2 linked regions of the Macaca mulatta genome follow. The protein of the gene in region 2 interacts with the protein of the main gene of each other region in a biochemical or structural test. Links are inferred from orthologs where the notes say so. Each region holds a gene or a part of one and is shown on either strand. Other genes may lie near its edges. The genes, in order: ATOX1 and ATP7B.

Region 1 (7,839 bases), on a different chromosome or scaffold from region 2:
TCCGTCTCAAAAAAAAAAAAAAAAAAAATTAGCTATTGGGTTATTATTAATTTCTTCCATTTGTCTCTCCTGTTTCCCTTCAAAAATCAATGGCTACATTTTTCACGGAGCACTTCAAAATATTTCAAGTCTATTACCTCAATTGGAATTCTGGGTGTAGCGATATATCTTGCTAGAAAATCACAGGCAAAATCTCTGCTCCAGAAGGGCTCTAGTTCCCTAATCTATACCAAAAGGGTATTAGCTAACTCAGTTTTTTTTCAACTTCAGCATGCATAGGAAGAATCTGGGGACCTTGTGTAAAGTGCAGCTCCCAGACACCTGCCTCAACTGGCTCTGTGGATGTGGAGCAGGCCCTGCCACTCCCCATTTTTAACCTACTGGGGAGAGACAGGGAGGCAAAACTACAAACCTGAAAATAAAGTGACTAAGTGGCTTCTCAAACTCTTTCTAAGTCTCTAAACACCTCTGAGTCTGGATTGTCATTGTGCTCTACAGAGGAAACCAAGACCAAGAGTTAAGCAGCTCGATTTTCCAGTGTAGACTGTATGACCTTTGTGACTAGTAAACTACTACTTTTATTAAGGCCAAATCTGCAAAGTCTGCCTTAAAGAAAATGGTCAGTCTTTCTTCTAAACATCTCTGATTTTTTCATCGTTTCATGACTATTCAAAGACAGCAACAATAACAAATTCTGGAAAGAATGATTTGTAGTAGGTATTACAAAATCTTGTGTTTAAAATGTGGTCCTCAACCGAACAATACGATCATCACCTGACAGCCTGCCAGAAATGCACAATCTCAGGTCCCTTCCCAGAAGTCCGGAATCAGAATCCTCATTTTAACAAGACACCCAAGTCATTCCTGCCCACATTACAGTTGAGATGATGCTCTCCTCTATTAAAAAATTTTTTAGGCAGGGCAATGTGGCTCATGCCTATAATCTCAACACTTTGGGAGGCTGAGGCAGGCAGATCACCTGAGGTCAGGAGTTCGAGACCAGTCAGGCCAACATGGTAAAACCTGTCTCTCTACTAAAAATAGAAAAAAATTAGCCAGGCATAATGGCAGGTGCCTGTAATCCCAGCTACTTGGGAGGCTGAGGCAGGAGAATAGCTGGAACCCAGAAGGCGGAGGCTGCAGTGAGCCAAGATCATGCCACTGCACTCCAGCCTGGGCAACAGAGCAGGACTCTGTCTCAAAATAAATAAATAAATAAAAATCTAAAGGCTGGGTGCAGTGGCTTACACCTGTAATCCCAACACTTTGGGAGGCTGAAATGGGAGGATCACTTGAACCCAGGATTTTGAGACTAGCCTGGGCAATACAGTGAGATCATGGCTCCATTTAATTTAAAACAAAAAAAAAATGTTTTGCAAAAAAAAAAAAAAAATGATGATGCTCTAGAACATGGATTGGCACAATACAAGCTACCTGTTTTACAAGGTAAAAGGTTTTGTTAAAACATAGCCAAACTGAGGCCAGGTGTGGTGGCTCATGCCTGTAATCCCAGCACTTTGGGAGGCAGAGGCAGGAGGATCATGAGGTCAAGAGATCGAGACCATTCTGGCCAACATGGTGAAACCCCGTCTCTACTAAAAATACAAAAATTAGCTGGTAGCGGTGGCGTGCGCCTGTAATCTCAGCTACTCAGGAGGCTGAGGCAGGAGAATCACTTGACCTGGGAGGCGGAGGTTACAGTGAGCCGAGATCATGCCACTGCACTCCAGCCTGGCGAGAGAGCAACACTCTGTCTCAAAAAAAAAAAAAAAAAAAGAATCAAAAACAAAAAACCATAGCCAAACTCACTTGTTTACTTTTGCACTAGAATGGCAGGGTTGAGTAGTTGTACCAGAGATCCTGTGGTTTGTGAAGACTAAAATGTTTACTATCTGGGCCTTGTAAAAAAAAATTTGCTGAGTCTTGCTCTAGGATAACCAGCAGAAAATTGATTAATCAATGGTTTGCACTTATATACTGAGCCAAAGTTTGGAAGGGTTTGCAAGATCAACCTAAGAGCTAAATCTACTGATTGTCTATTATATGTCAAATTGTCTTTATACAGTATCTAAGCTAGTCCTCACTGAGCCTGGAAAGAAAGCTATTTATCTTATTTCACTCAGGAGGAAAGTGAAGTTCCCAAGAGTTCACTAAGTGGCCTGCAGTCATGTGGCAAATACCTACTGAGTATGGAATATGAACCTAGGCTTTCTTCGCTCCAGGGAAATCCTGCTCGTTCTGGAATAGCAAAGTACACCACCAGCTCTCATAACCGTGACTCTCAGCAGAAGCTCCGAAACTAGAAATACATTTTTAGGGAGCACAGTTTTTTGCTGCCCAAGGACCTGAAGTCAACAAATACCTGAAACTTTCAGTTGCTGATTATAGGGAGTAGGTCCCATCCCCTACAGTATAAAGGTCAGAAGTCAGAAATCAGCTGCTGGGTATAAACATTACAGTTCAGTGCTCTCCTCCTCCACCTCTGAGGGGCAAAAATAAATTTGAGGGTGATGGAAAAACTATTTCATGGACAGAGTAATCACTTCTTTATAGGAGAAGCTCAAGATTGGCTCTACCACCGGATGCATAACTGGGTAGTTCTGGTTCCTCAAGGCCTCTGGGGTCTTTCATAAAGACTTATAAAATGGGTAGATTTTAAAGTAGGTTTTAAAAGTCAGTAAGTGGGGGCCGGGCACAGTGGCTCATGCCTGTAATCCCAGCACCTTGGGAGGCCGAGGCAGGCAGATCACAAGGTCAGGAGATCAAGACCATCCTGGCTAACATGGTGAAACCCGTCAGTACCAAAAATACAAAAAAAAATTAGCTGGGCGTGGTGGCTGGTGCCTGTAGTCCCAGCTACTCAGGAGGCTGAGGCAGCATGACGTGAACCCGGGAGGCGGAGCTTGCAGTGAGCCAAGATCAGCCTGGGCGAAGTAAGTGGGACGATTTTTTTTTCTTTTTTTGAGACGGAGTCTCGCATTGTCTCCCAGTATATATACATATTAACATATATATATGTTTTTTTCTTCCCTTTCCAGTTTTAAGGCAGTCCCTTGACTAACACCCTCCTTCCTTCAGCTGCTCATCTTGTGGTACATGGTGCCAAGCGCCCTCCTCATTCCCATCATTTGCTCCAGAGGGTCTTTTGTCAAAATCCCCAGAAGATACAGAATACACTGATGATCAAGCTGGACTTTTCCTCACTGCCACCCCCCACAAAAAATCCTGGTGACCTTCACTCTCTAAGTCCCAGGGAGATTAATACTGTCTTCTACCATTGCCACAGGCTGACTTGCTCAACTGGTAGGGCTGATTCTGTCAGATTCCTTATCCATACTTTGTTGTTGGAGGATTTGTCTCAAGGCACCTGGCAAGGTCCAAGGGAAATGACACCTGAGATGTTAGTGGCTCTGCCCAGGGGGCGTCAGGCTCACCTGTCAGCTCCCAAAGGACAGGCTGCTAAGACACATGGCATCTGTGGGATACCTCTTGATATCCACCTGGCCCAGAGCCATGAATTACGCACCTCGAAGAAAATGCTAAACACCACATGACCCTAACCAAGATGCAACTGAGATCAGAGCATCTTCCCAAGCCGGTATGACTGCTTTTGCCAGGCACCTCCGATGTGGTCAGGCCTGGAGAGATGGGGAGCCTAAGGATAAGGAGCTGAATCCTGGCTCTGCCAACTTCAACACGACCTGGAATAAGTTACTGGGTTTTTTATATTTTTATCTGTCAAAGCCCTCAATTCTTTTTTATATAAAAAACGAGACCACGAGCAACAATATACTGAGTGATCTGCAAAGGCAGGCTCAGACTGACTTCCCAGACTCTTGCCACTGAGCAACTGGTGACTTTGAGGGGGGTTCCTGAACCTCTCTGGGGCTTATGGGTTCAGGCTGACAAAGTGTCTCCATTCAGAGTCGCCCAGAGCTGATTTGAAAAGTAAGCCATAGTGGCAGGAAAATTTAGAAAAAATCATGAACCTCTGAAAACCTGCCCGGTCCGTGAGGGAATAACCGGGTCCATCCCCATGCCCAGAGCCTCCCGCCCTCCTTCAGGCCAGCTAAGCGGGCGGGGCAGCCAAGAGGAAGGCTCAGGGAGTAGGCGTCTCAGTTCCCGCTGGCCACCAACTCCCCGCGTCCTGCTGAGCGACCCCCTGCCCCCTCTCTGGGTCTGTTTCTCCGTGTACGCAGGAAAGGTGTGGGCTTGTCGCCCCTGGAGGCCTTCCAGCTCCGACGTTTTGAAGCCTGGCTCCTAGATTAAACTCCCTTCGGATCCCATTTTCTGAAGGGTCGCAAAAGCTGGGGGCTGGGTGGGGTAAGCTGAGCCCTTCAAGAGAAGCATCCGGTCAAGCTGTTGTGCAGCCAAGGAGGAACCCGGGGACTGCAAGTGTGCGTGGCGGGCACGGCGCAACCACTCACCGGCATAACTAAGGCAGCGGCAGCGGGGCGGCGGTGGCAGCAGCGCCTCTGGGCTCGGAGGGCGGGTTCGGCTGCGCTTCCGAGAGTGCGTGCTAGAGGCACCTTCCCGGAAGCCCCACCCTCTCCGGGCCAGGTCGCGAGGGAGGCCCCGCCCCCTCCGGGCCTCAACCCTGCCGGCCGCACCGCCTCCTTTCCGCTGGCCGCGCTTATGGTCACCCGGCCTGGACGGAGAGAGGAGGTGAGAGGAGCGCTGCGTTGGCCTCCATCGACTGTCGGCCTTTTTCAGAACGCCTACTTCGGGTCAAGCTTGTGTTAGGGAATACCAGAAAAGGGCACCGCCTTGAATAGGACAGATTCATCCATCCCTAAAAGGACAGTTTCACTCATTTATTCACCGAGTCAATGTCTATTGAGCGCCAGCCAACGAGGACGCAGCGGTGTAAAAGATGTAGCAGGAGGCTGCGAAGGACGCAAGCAGTGATAGTGCCGGGTTAGCAGAGCTGTCGTGGCAGAGGAGGAAGGGCCCTGACTGCAGTGGGGTGGGGGTGGTTGTGGAAGAGAGGCGGCCTGGGGAGGAGGCAATAATCTGGACCTCAGTTAGCCTTTATCGCCCTATTACAGGCTCTGTCTCTAAATGCAGTCGCATTGGGGGTTAGGGTATCAACATAGGAATTTTGGGGAACACCATTCATGTCCATGTCAGAGTTCAGTCCCTAACAGAGCCATACTGACTAGAGTTTTAATCTCAGCTCTATCATTTACCAGCCGTGTGACCCTGGGCAGATGAACTTACCTCTCTAAGCCTCAATATCCTCACGTATAAGATGGGGACAGTTAAGGTGACTATACAATTTTTTTTATCTAAACCTTTTGCTAGAGAAAGGAGATGCTATTAATAATTTTGCCAGGACAACAGGCAAACACCATGACTGTTTCAGGCAAACAAGGACACATGGTTCCCTCCAGGAAACCTACTTTGTGGTATTGTTGGAATACGTGTAATGTATGCAGACTTCTAAGCACATTGCTTGGCACATGGTAGGCACCAAAATATATAAGTATTCTCTAATTGCTAGGCCCTCGGTTGGCCTCCCTGGCACTGGGTTTTCCCCTGCTCACAAAATACCCCTTAACCATTCATCCCCTACCCAACCTGCCAGGAATTCCCTAAAGATGGAAGGGATGGGGGCGAGGAGGAGAGGGAAGGAGGGTGCTGGCACATTAGGTCCTGTAGAGGCAAGGCTTAGCATCTTGGTAGTCCTGGGTGCAACTTTACACTGGGGCTAGGGATAGCCAGATTGCCATGAGGGAAGGTGGAGGGTGGCCATGAGGGAACGAAATCCTTCCCAAAGGCAACAGTGCACAGGGCGAGCCACCCACGGCATGTTTTAGAGAATTAGGGGTAGGAGTTGGGGGTATGGCTAAGCCTAGAGACAGCAATTTAAAGAGAAGACAGCTTTATGAAGATCTGTTAAAGATCGCAAATAAAGGCCTATTAAAGAGAAGAAAATATGCCAGACTGTAGTTCCTGCATAAAGATATACATACATTCCGTGTATTTACATAAAAATAAGCCTGAAATCAACTACAGCCAATGTTACTAGAAGTTACCTTGGATAAGTGTAGGATTTGCAGGTGGAATCCCAATGTGCCTACTGTTTAATTTTCAAATAACACAAAGTAGCATACAGTGAAAAGTAGGTCTCCCTCCTACCCTGACCTCTCCTTCTTAAACAAAAGGCATACTATATGCAGTTTTGCACCCTGCTTTTCTCACTTTATAAAATATCTTAGAGGTTATTCCTGGGCCAGGTGCAGTGGCTCATACTTCTAATCCCATTGCTTTAAGAGGCCCAGGTGGGAGGATCACTTAACCCCAGGAGTTTAAGACCAGACTAGCAACATGGTGAAACCCCAGCTCTACAAAAAACACAAAAATTAGCCAGGTGTGGTGGCATATGCCTGTGGTCCCAGCTACTCAGGAGACTGAGGTGGGAGCATCACTTGAGCTTAGGAGGTCAAGGCTGCACTGAGCTATAATTACACCACTGCACTCCAGCCTGGGTGACAGAATGTGACCCTGTATTTTAAAAAAAGAAAAGAAAAGAAAAAGAAAAAAAAGATTATTCCTTAACAGTACATATCAATCCTTTTCTTTCTTGCCTTTTTTTTTTTTTTTCCTCTTCGAGATGGAGTCTTGCTCTGTCGCCCAGGCTGGAGTGCAGTGACGCAATCTTTGCTCACTGAAACGTCTGCCTCCTGGGTTCAAGCAATTCTCCTGCTTCAGCCTCCCAAGTAGCTGGGATGATAGGCGTGCACCACCCTGCCCGGCTAATTTTTGTATTTTTAGTAGAGACAAGGTTTCACCATGTTGGCCAGGCTGGTCTCGAACCAGCCTGACCTTGTTGGCCAGACCTTGTGATCCGCCCACCTTGGCCTCCCAAAGTGCTGAGATTATAGGCAATGAGCCATCTCTAAGCCAATGAGCCTGGCAAATGGGCATATAGAATCCCTGCCCTTTCTGGCTGACAGTGTTGTTGTGAGGATAGGAATGTACGCACTGTAGGTATGTATAGATGGTGGGTTCCTCCTGGTATCATCTACCTCTAGACCCAGCCTCCTGGGATGACTCTTTCTTTGACAGATGCTGGGGAGTTTAATTCTTTGCAAAGAAAGGTTTTGTAGCTGCTTGTCTGCTCCCTGCTTTCCCCACCGCAGGAAACCAAGTGTCTGTTTGTTGTATGATAACGCAGGTATACACTATTTGCCTCACTGCTTTATCCATCAAGGAACCCCTTTATCTAGGACCAAAGATTCTGAGCTGAAAGGGCCCTCAGAGCAGCCAAGTCATGCATGAGAAGAGAAGGGCTATGAAGTGGAAGCTGAGGGAGCATGGACTGCAGGCTTGGGAGAGGCAGCATGGTGTCCTGCAGAGCCGCATGCTGGCAGAACTGGGTCTACAGACACATTTCATTCAGTTCCTAAAGTATTCAAAGTATTTTTTGATTAGTTGACAACAGTTAAGAACCCTGAGTATGCTTGTACAACATTGTGAATATACTTAATGCCACTGAATTATAGAGGAATTTTATGTTCTGTACGTTTTACCACAATTAAAAAATAGGGGCCGGGCGCGGTGGCTCAAGCCTGTAATCCCAGCACTTTGGGAGGCCGAGACGGGCGGATCACAAGGTCAGGAGATCAAGACCATCCTGGCTAACACAATGAAACCCCGTCTCTACTAAAAAAAACCAAAAAACTAGCCGGGCGAGGTGGCGGGCGCCTGTAGTCCCAGCTACTCAGGAGGCTGAGGCGGGAGAATGGCGTAAACCCGGGAGGCGGAGCTTGCAGTGAGCTGAGATCCGGCCACTGCACTCTAGCCTGGGTGACAGAGCGAGGCTCCGTCTCAAAA
Region 2 (7,332 bases):
TCTTCTAAAGAAAGGGGATCCCTTCCTAAGGTGGTATCACCCTCACTTTTCACAACATGAAATTTCTGTACCCAGGCATCTGGAAAAATAGTCAAGCAGGCATGGCACGAAGTCATGGTGTGCTGGAGGGCGGGGCTGGCCATCTAGCTATGCAGTCACATTGAGCCATGAGATAATCACCTCAATGATTCCACAGAGAAGTGTAGGTACCAAGATGTGGATATGGGGGGAACCTTGAAATGTGATAAAGGACTATGCCACCAGCATGTCTCTGGAACCTGTGATCGGGCAAAGTTCTAAAGTAGACAGTCTGTGTCAATGGAGACTTCACAATGTCTATTTCCCTTGGAAGGAAGGTGAGCGCCATGTCCCAGTTTGCCTGGATAGTCCCGGTATAGGCCAATTCTCCTGGCATAACTATTCATAGTGTCTCCTTCCGCTCTTCAAAGTGTCCTGGTGTGGGTGAAGATTACACTGTCAACTCCCTTCAGGTGTGGCTCACTTACACCTCCCGGCCACCCCAAGATGCCCACAGAGCTTTCCCAGCAGAGCCCACTAGTCAAGATTTTTCTGCTCCTCCTCCTGACCCACTCCCTCAAGACCAAGGAACCCCAAACATAACCCTCCTGATTAAGATGTGTTTGAGAACAGCCTTTTGCAGACACTCACCCTAGAACAGAGGGGTGCAAACGATGCAGTAATTCAAGCCCGCATCCAACCCAGGAGGGCAGGGACTTTGACAGGAGCTGCCTTTCAGCGTTCTCCCCACACGCCACTGAGGCAGGCCTGCATTAGAGAAATGGACTTACACCAGTGCTGGGGATGGCAGATCAAGGGGGCTCTGCCCACCCTCATGTCCCCTGCTGTTAAAATCCCATCCTTCTCTGCCCCCTAAAAAGACATCAAGCCAAGCCAGTGCCTCACAGAAGCCCTCATGACGACAGGATGGCACTGGCCTCTGACCACGCATCTCACTCACAGGCAGATTTTGAGAGGAATGACAAGAACTTTATTCTAATATTGCATGAAATGTTTTTGAAGTAGAAATGGTTATCTGACAAAAAAATTCCTTACACTTTGACCATCTAAAAGGTTATTTTCTATAAAATTATATAAATATTTCCATGTCCATATAGGAACACAACGTTTATGGTCCTATAAGTTTTAAAAATCAACAGAATTAGATTCTTTAGATAATGATCAGCCTAGTCAGAAAACAACATTCCCCAAGCAAGCATAAAGAGAGGACACAGTTACTGACGGACAGCGGAAATGTGCTGCGGGCTGGAGTTGGGGGGCTGAAAACAATGAAAACACAATCACTGGGGAGCTTGGATTTTATAAAATAAAACCCCGCAAAAACTATATGTAAAAAGTGAAACTAACCATCCAAGGTGAAGGTCAGATGACCTCCTGAATGAATTGCATTCTGAGTTGAAACAATGAATAGATCACCTGGTAGATTCGTTCTTCCAGGAGGCAAGGACCTTTTCCTTGTTTATTCTTATCAGGAAAACTTCTATTCAAGGTAGAAGGACAATTAGAGTGAAGCCTTCACAGCTGACAGACACGGCTTGTCCACTGGCTATGTCATCCTGGGCAAAGTCCTCAGCCTCTTGGAGCCTGTTTCCTTGCCTGTAAAATGCGGACAGTAATAGCTACCTTGTTGGTTGGCTGGGAAGATTAGAGGTAATCTATCGAAAGTGCTGCTAAAACTGCCCCTGGCAAGTAATGGACACTGAAAAAAGTCACTAAAACTATTTTGTGTGGGAGAAAAGGGTTTCACCCAGAATTTAATCCAACATCTACTAGTTTGCTCCCAAGGGGTTCTGTCAATCACAACCAACTTCAGAGTCTAAAACTGGACCCCTTCTGCTGCTCTGAGAGCCACGGCCAGGTAAACAGATGCTCCCTTCGGGATGCTGTGGCCACTCCTTTCCTGAAGCCCCTGTGCGTGCAGAAGGCAGGCTCAAGGAGGCTGTGCTTTCCTCCTATTTGGGCAGTACCTAATCTCCAAGCCACACAAGGCCAGGTGCTAGTGACATGAATTCTCTATTGAACCCCATGAGGTGACAGTCACACAGAAGACTGAAAACGAAGCTCCTGGGGCCATGCAGGGAGGCTCCTGCACACACATGTCTCCCATGGGACAAACGTTTTGAGCACCACAGGCTGGGCAGGAATATGGAAGGACGTCCTGAATTGCGAGAACCTAGACCCCACAGGAAGCCAAGTCTGGACTCTCAGGTCAGCTGGTCAGCAACAACACTCTACTGAGAAGCCCCCACTCCATGGAGAAGGGGGCTTCAAACAAAAAAAGAACCCTCCTGGACCTGAAGAATGGTGTGGCAAGCTCCCTGACTGGGGATGTGCGAGCCAGGAAGCAGGTTCAAGCTGAAATGCACACTCCAGAGCACTGGAGAAGCGCCTGAGAGCAGCAGCAAGGACCACAAAGACACTGGTCTCGCCCTCCTAGGAGACAGGCAGGGTTCCAAGGGGTCCCCACGGACAAGCACACAGAAGAGAAAAGGAACAGACTGTGCAGGAAGAAAGCAGCAGGCACACCTGAGGTAAACTGTGGTCTCAGAAACATGATGCACACAGACAGGCGTCATCAGAAAGAGCCTGACAGTGAGGTCTGCCGTTCTCTGGAAAGGCCCAGTGAGGTTTTTTGGTCCTGATGAAACTGTTCTCCATTTCATAGCAGTCATCCTAAATACTCCAAGCAGAGGTTTGTGAGGAGGGTGACTCGCCTCTCACCTTCTACAGTACAGCCAAGGACTAGAGGCCAAGACAAAGCCCATCCTGACGGTTCAGTGACGCCAAGAGGCAGGCCAGGCCGTCCTCTCTAGGGCAAGGCCAGTTGCACTCAGACAAGACCACGTGCTGCAGGGCAGGATGACTGGACATATCCAGGGAGTGGAAGTCCCCAAAGCTGGAGGCTAGCTCAGCCCATCCTGCTGCTGGCTGTCCTGCTCAGCTTGTGGCGAGTGGAGGCAAGGCCCTGCCCTGGCCCGCCTGCCTGGTGCCATCAGATGTACTGCTCCTCATCCCTGTCATTCAGGAGCAGAGACCACTTGTCCCCACCATCGTCCGCTGCAGTGCTGTGCCGAGATGGCTTGTCGGATGTCAGGGAGGACAGCGACACCTGGCTGACATAGCTGACCTGGTCCCATGGTGTGGCCCTGGGGGAGTCCCGCCGCCTGTCATCCATGCCGATGTGCACACTGACCTGGGATGCTGTCAGGGGCTTCATGTGGCCATGCGCCTGTGCCTCATACCTCTCCAGGTCAGGCTTCTTATAGCTGGAAAGCAGGAAGGCAACAGCATCTGAGCCATTCTAGAAACAAGGCTCTTTTTTTTCTCAGCCTGGTGAAGGCCTCTCATCTATCTTTTAATAACATTTAGTACCAAAACCTCAAGAGATCCCAAGGAAAAGGATATTAAACTCCCTATGGTTCCAGGAAAGCTCACCTGATTTAGAAACTTCCTAAGCAAATGCCTTGCACATTGTAGGCTGCCACTCACTTTTGTTAAATGAATGCACTCATAAATAAGTGAACATCTTTTTTAAAGAAAAAAAATGATAGATAATACACAGGGACCCATGTCTGCTTGATGTTCACAGTAACAGCCCTTGAGCAGCAGAGTAAGGGCAGCCCAGCATGTGGATGGGCAGCAGTGAATTGCCTGCTCACGGTGCTGATAAGTTACACGCATGCACACCAGGCTCCACGTGGGCTGCCACTGCAGCGTTTGTCCCAGGTGAATGACTGGGGAATGAGAGGCAAGTTCCACTGTTCCCTGAGCGTGCAGAATGACAGGGCCTCCTGGGAGGCTCCAACAGATGCTCCGCCTGAGGGGACTCACCACTTGAGCTGCAGGGATGACAGCACCACAGACACAGAGGAGGCGGCCATGGCCGCTGAGCCCATCCAGGGCTGCAGCACAATGCCGATGGGCATGAAGACACCTGGGGAAGAAAGAATTCGCACTCGCACCTAGGCCTGGGGAGAGGAGCCAGGAGAGGGCCTCAGGCACCGGGCTGGCCCCACCCTCAGTGGCCCCCAGTGAGGTCTCCACCTGGCATGCTCGGAAGCCCCTGCCAATGGATCTTGTTCACAGGCCCCCCAAAGTGAGGCTTCCTAGAAAGCTGGGTGTGGGGTGCTGTCAAGCGGTCCTGGCTCTCTTCCATTTGCCCTGACATTCCCAGAACCACCCACAGGTGGCATCCCATTTCAGGGCGAGCTCCAGGGCAGCGACGAACCAGAGAGTGGGAGGAGCGGGAGGAGAAAAGTGGCAGGAGGTGAGGGAGCCAGCTGCCCATCCTGCAGCCACAGTACCACAGAGGACAAACATGGCTGATGGCCACAGCCCTTGTCTAGCAGATGACCTCGCCTCCAGGGCTTCATGACATCTTTAAAAGAGGAATGAGAGCCAGGTCCCAGGGCAGGGTCAGGAGACAGGTATGGTCAACTTTGTGTGACAGAGGCACACACACTGGGGGAATTAAGCTCCTGAGCCGGCTCTGGGGACAGGAAGTAAACCTGCCTAACTCACTGGGCTCAGGAGGCCAACACCCTGTTACACAAGTCACCACTAACCACTCAGACACAAGGGAGACTGAGGCAGGAATGCTGTGATTACAAACTTGATCTCTCCTCAGCCCATGGAGGGGCACTGCCTTACAGAAGGGTCTGGAACTTTTCACTGCCATGTTCCCAGGGGCAGGGAGCAGGGGGCAGGGGAGAGGCGTTTCTTGGGGAGGGGGAATGAGGGGGAATTACAAAGCAGAAAAATCTATTTCTTTTCTTTTTCTTTTTTCTGAGACAGGGTTTTACTCTTGCCCAGGCTAGAGTACAGTGGTACAATCATGGGTCACTGCCACCTCCAACTCCTGGGCTCAATAAATCCTCCTGCCCCAGCCTCTGTACTCCCAGATGGGACTAAGGTGTATGCTACCATGCCCAGCTAATTTTAAAATTTTTGTAGAGATGAAGTCTCACTATGTTGCCCAGGTGAGTCTTGAACCCCTGAGCTCAAATGGCCCTCCTGCCTCAGCCTCCCAAAGTGTTGGGATTACAGGCATGAGCTACCACGCCTGGCCAAAAAGCCATTTCTTTCCATGATCATTTGTGTAACTCAGAGTGAAACTTGGGCAGGACTAAAGTTCAGGATAAGGTTCTGAAACACCAATAATTGTGCCTAACATGTAGCAAATGCCCCATAATTCTTACTAGTGATTATTTCTCAGACTATATGTCTTAACAAATGGCTCTGAAAATAAGGCCACAGTAAAATAGGGCTCAGAAAATATAGCCAAGCATCTCCACTAGCTTTTTAGAAAGGAACAGAGTGAATGAAGTTTTCAGGTCCTCTTCACAGTTTCTCATTTACCTTTAAAGACATATAAAGCAGGGGACATAAAAAAAACCAGCCTTTCTAAAACATCTCTAGCCAGCCAGTGAGTGAGGCACTCACTAACCTCAGCAGAAACCTGGGAGACAGAAGCCTTTCTGGGCACAGCTGGAGTACAGTGGGTAAAAGCTGCCTACCTGCCGCAATGGGTATCCCAACCAGGTTATAAATCAGTGCCAGGACCAGGTTGATGCGTATCCTCCGGACAATCCTCTTGGAAAGGTGAATGCTAGCCACCACATCCAGCAAATCATTCTGATGGAGAGGAGCACACAGTGAGGAAGGTGTCTGCCCACCACCCTCCCAGTACCCACAGCCTGGCTGCAGCCGTGCTCACTCTGATGAGGACGACGTCGGCTGCCTCGATGGCCACATCCGTGCCGGTGCCAATGGCGACACCCATGTCTGCCTGAGCCAAGGCTGGGGAGTCATTGACCCCATCCCCCACCATGGCGACTCTCTTCCCTTCATTCTGGAGCTCCTGGACCTTGGCCACTTTGTGCGAAGGCAGCACCTCTGCAAAGACTTTGTTGATGCCAACCTAAGACAAAAGAAGGGCAATGCCTGGTGTTGGCAAAAGGTATCAGATAGCAGCAGAAGCCTCAAATTACCCTTGCCCCTCTGCCCTCAGCCTCTGGGTCCAGTCAGTGACGTTTGTCAGCCACACCCTGCAGGTTTGCTGTCACAGGGCCAGTTCATCCCTGGCTCCCGCCCCAACACCCTGTACTGGTTTAGGCCCTGTCCTTTTCTGGATGTGCAAACAACCCCCTTGCTGGTCTCCCTGTCCACAGCTCAGTACCCCAACTTTCTTCTCCATGTGCTGCACCCATGGTCTTCCCAAAGCATCTGTACGGCCATGGGTCCCTACTCTCCTGTCTCATGTCCTCCAGCAGACCCCATGCACCTCCCAGAGGAGGGCAGCTCAACTCTCAGGTCTGCTTCTGAGGTCCCCAGAGTCTCAGGGTCTGGCCGCTGGTGCCACACTTGACCACACCATTCAGCTCCCCGCAGTGTCTCCAAATCGCCGTGCTATTCTGTGCCCCTGGGAAATGCTCCTGCTGCCTGCTCTGTCCTGGAAAGGTGCAGTTTTCCTTTCCTAGCCCCTCTCCCGCTTCTCAGATATACACCGTCACTGGTCCGCCTTCTTGCAAGACTGTGAGCCGAGCCCCCTTCATTCCTCACAGAGCCTGGCCCCGCACCTGCCTGTCACATTCGTGGTGCTTCGTAAGTGCCTGCTGAATGGATGAACAAGTGTTAGCCAGAAAAGGGGGGAAGGACGCTAAACAGGTCCACCATTAGCAAGGAGGACCATGGAAAACAGGGGTATTGCTGCTTCCCTCAAGGAACACAATTAAGCTTTCAGAAGCCTAGAGCTCTGCACACATTTGGAGGTGCATAATTTCTAGGAATCCAAACTGGAGCCACTGCTGTGTGAGGAGTCAGGCAGCCATCCAGTGGTACTGTCCTCACAGGCCAAACAGCCTCAGGGGCTGCTGGAGAACTGCCCAGGACTGAATCACTTATCTGAGCACCCGAGTGAGAAGAGCTGAGCTGGCAAAATCTTCCTTTAACATAAAGGTTAGAAAATGTCTATCTTAGCCCTTAAGCCACATACTTTTTTTCCATTGCCAAGACTGGGAAAAGGTTAGAGAACAATGGAACTCCTTTTTCGAGGATGCATGCACCCAAACCCCAGGAAGAGATCTTCACACGGCACCACAGTGCTCACGTGTGACACTACGTAGCCACAGAATGAAGCACGTGGAGAGAAAAGCATCCAGAGAGGGGGAAAGAGCAGGAGTACAGTTCAGTGCTGGGCCAACTGGTGCTTACTTTTGTCTCTAACTGCTTTTATGAGCTTTACGCAGTTTGCAATATTAAAGGGCTGTACCTGGGTGGCAATGGCTCTGGCTG

The links.
Region 1: the proteins of ATP7B (region 2) and ATOX1 form a complex in vitro, tested with the Homo sapiens proteins (3 studies listed by BioGRID and IntAct). The link is inferred for Macaca mulatta from reciprocal best matches to the Homo sapiens genes ATP7B and ATOX1.

The regions. Positions count from the first base shown.
Region 1 is NC_133411.1:160,687,575-160,695,413, forward strand, and holds the start of ATOX1 (copper transport protein ATOX1), read right to left. Parts: upstream 4,515-7,839; 5' UTR 4,434-4,514; coding exon 4,428-4,433; intron 1-4,427. UniProt on the Homo sapiens protein: Binds and deliver cytosolic copper to the copper ATPase proteins. May be important in cellular antioxidant defense.
Region 2 is NC_133422.1:31,166,626-31,173,957, forward strand, and holds the end of ATP7B (copper-transporting ATPase 2), read right to left. Parts: coding exon 7,310-7,332; intron 5,960-7,309; coding exon 5,756-5,959; intron 5,674-5,755; coding exon 5,556-5,673; intron 3,974-5,555; coding exon 3,871-3,973; intron 3,306-3,870; coding exon 3,032-3,305; 3' UTR 987-3,031; downstream 1-986. UniProt on the Homo sapiens protein: Copper ion transmembrane transporter involved in the export of copper out of the cells. It is involved in copper homeostasis in the liver, where it ensures the efflux of copper from hepatocytes into the bile in response to copper overload.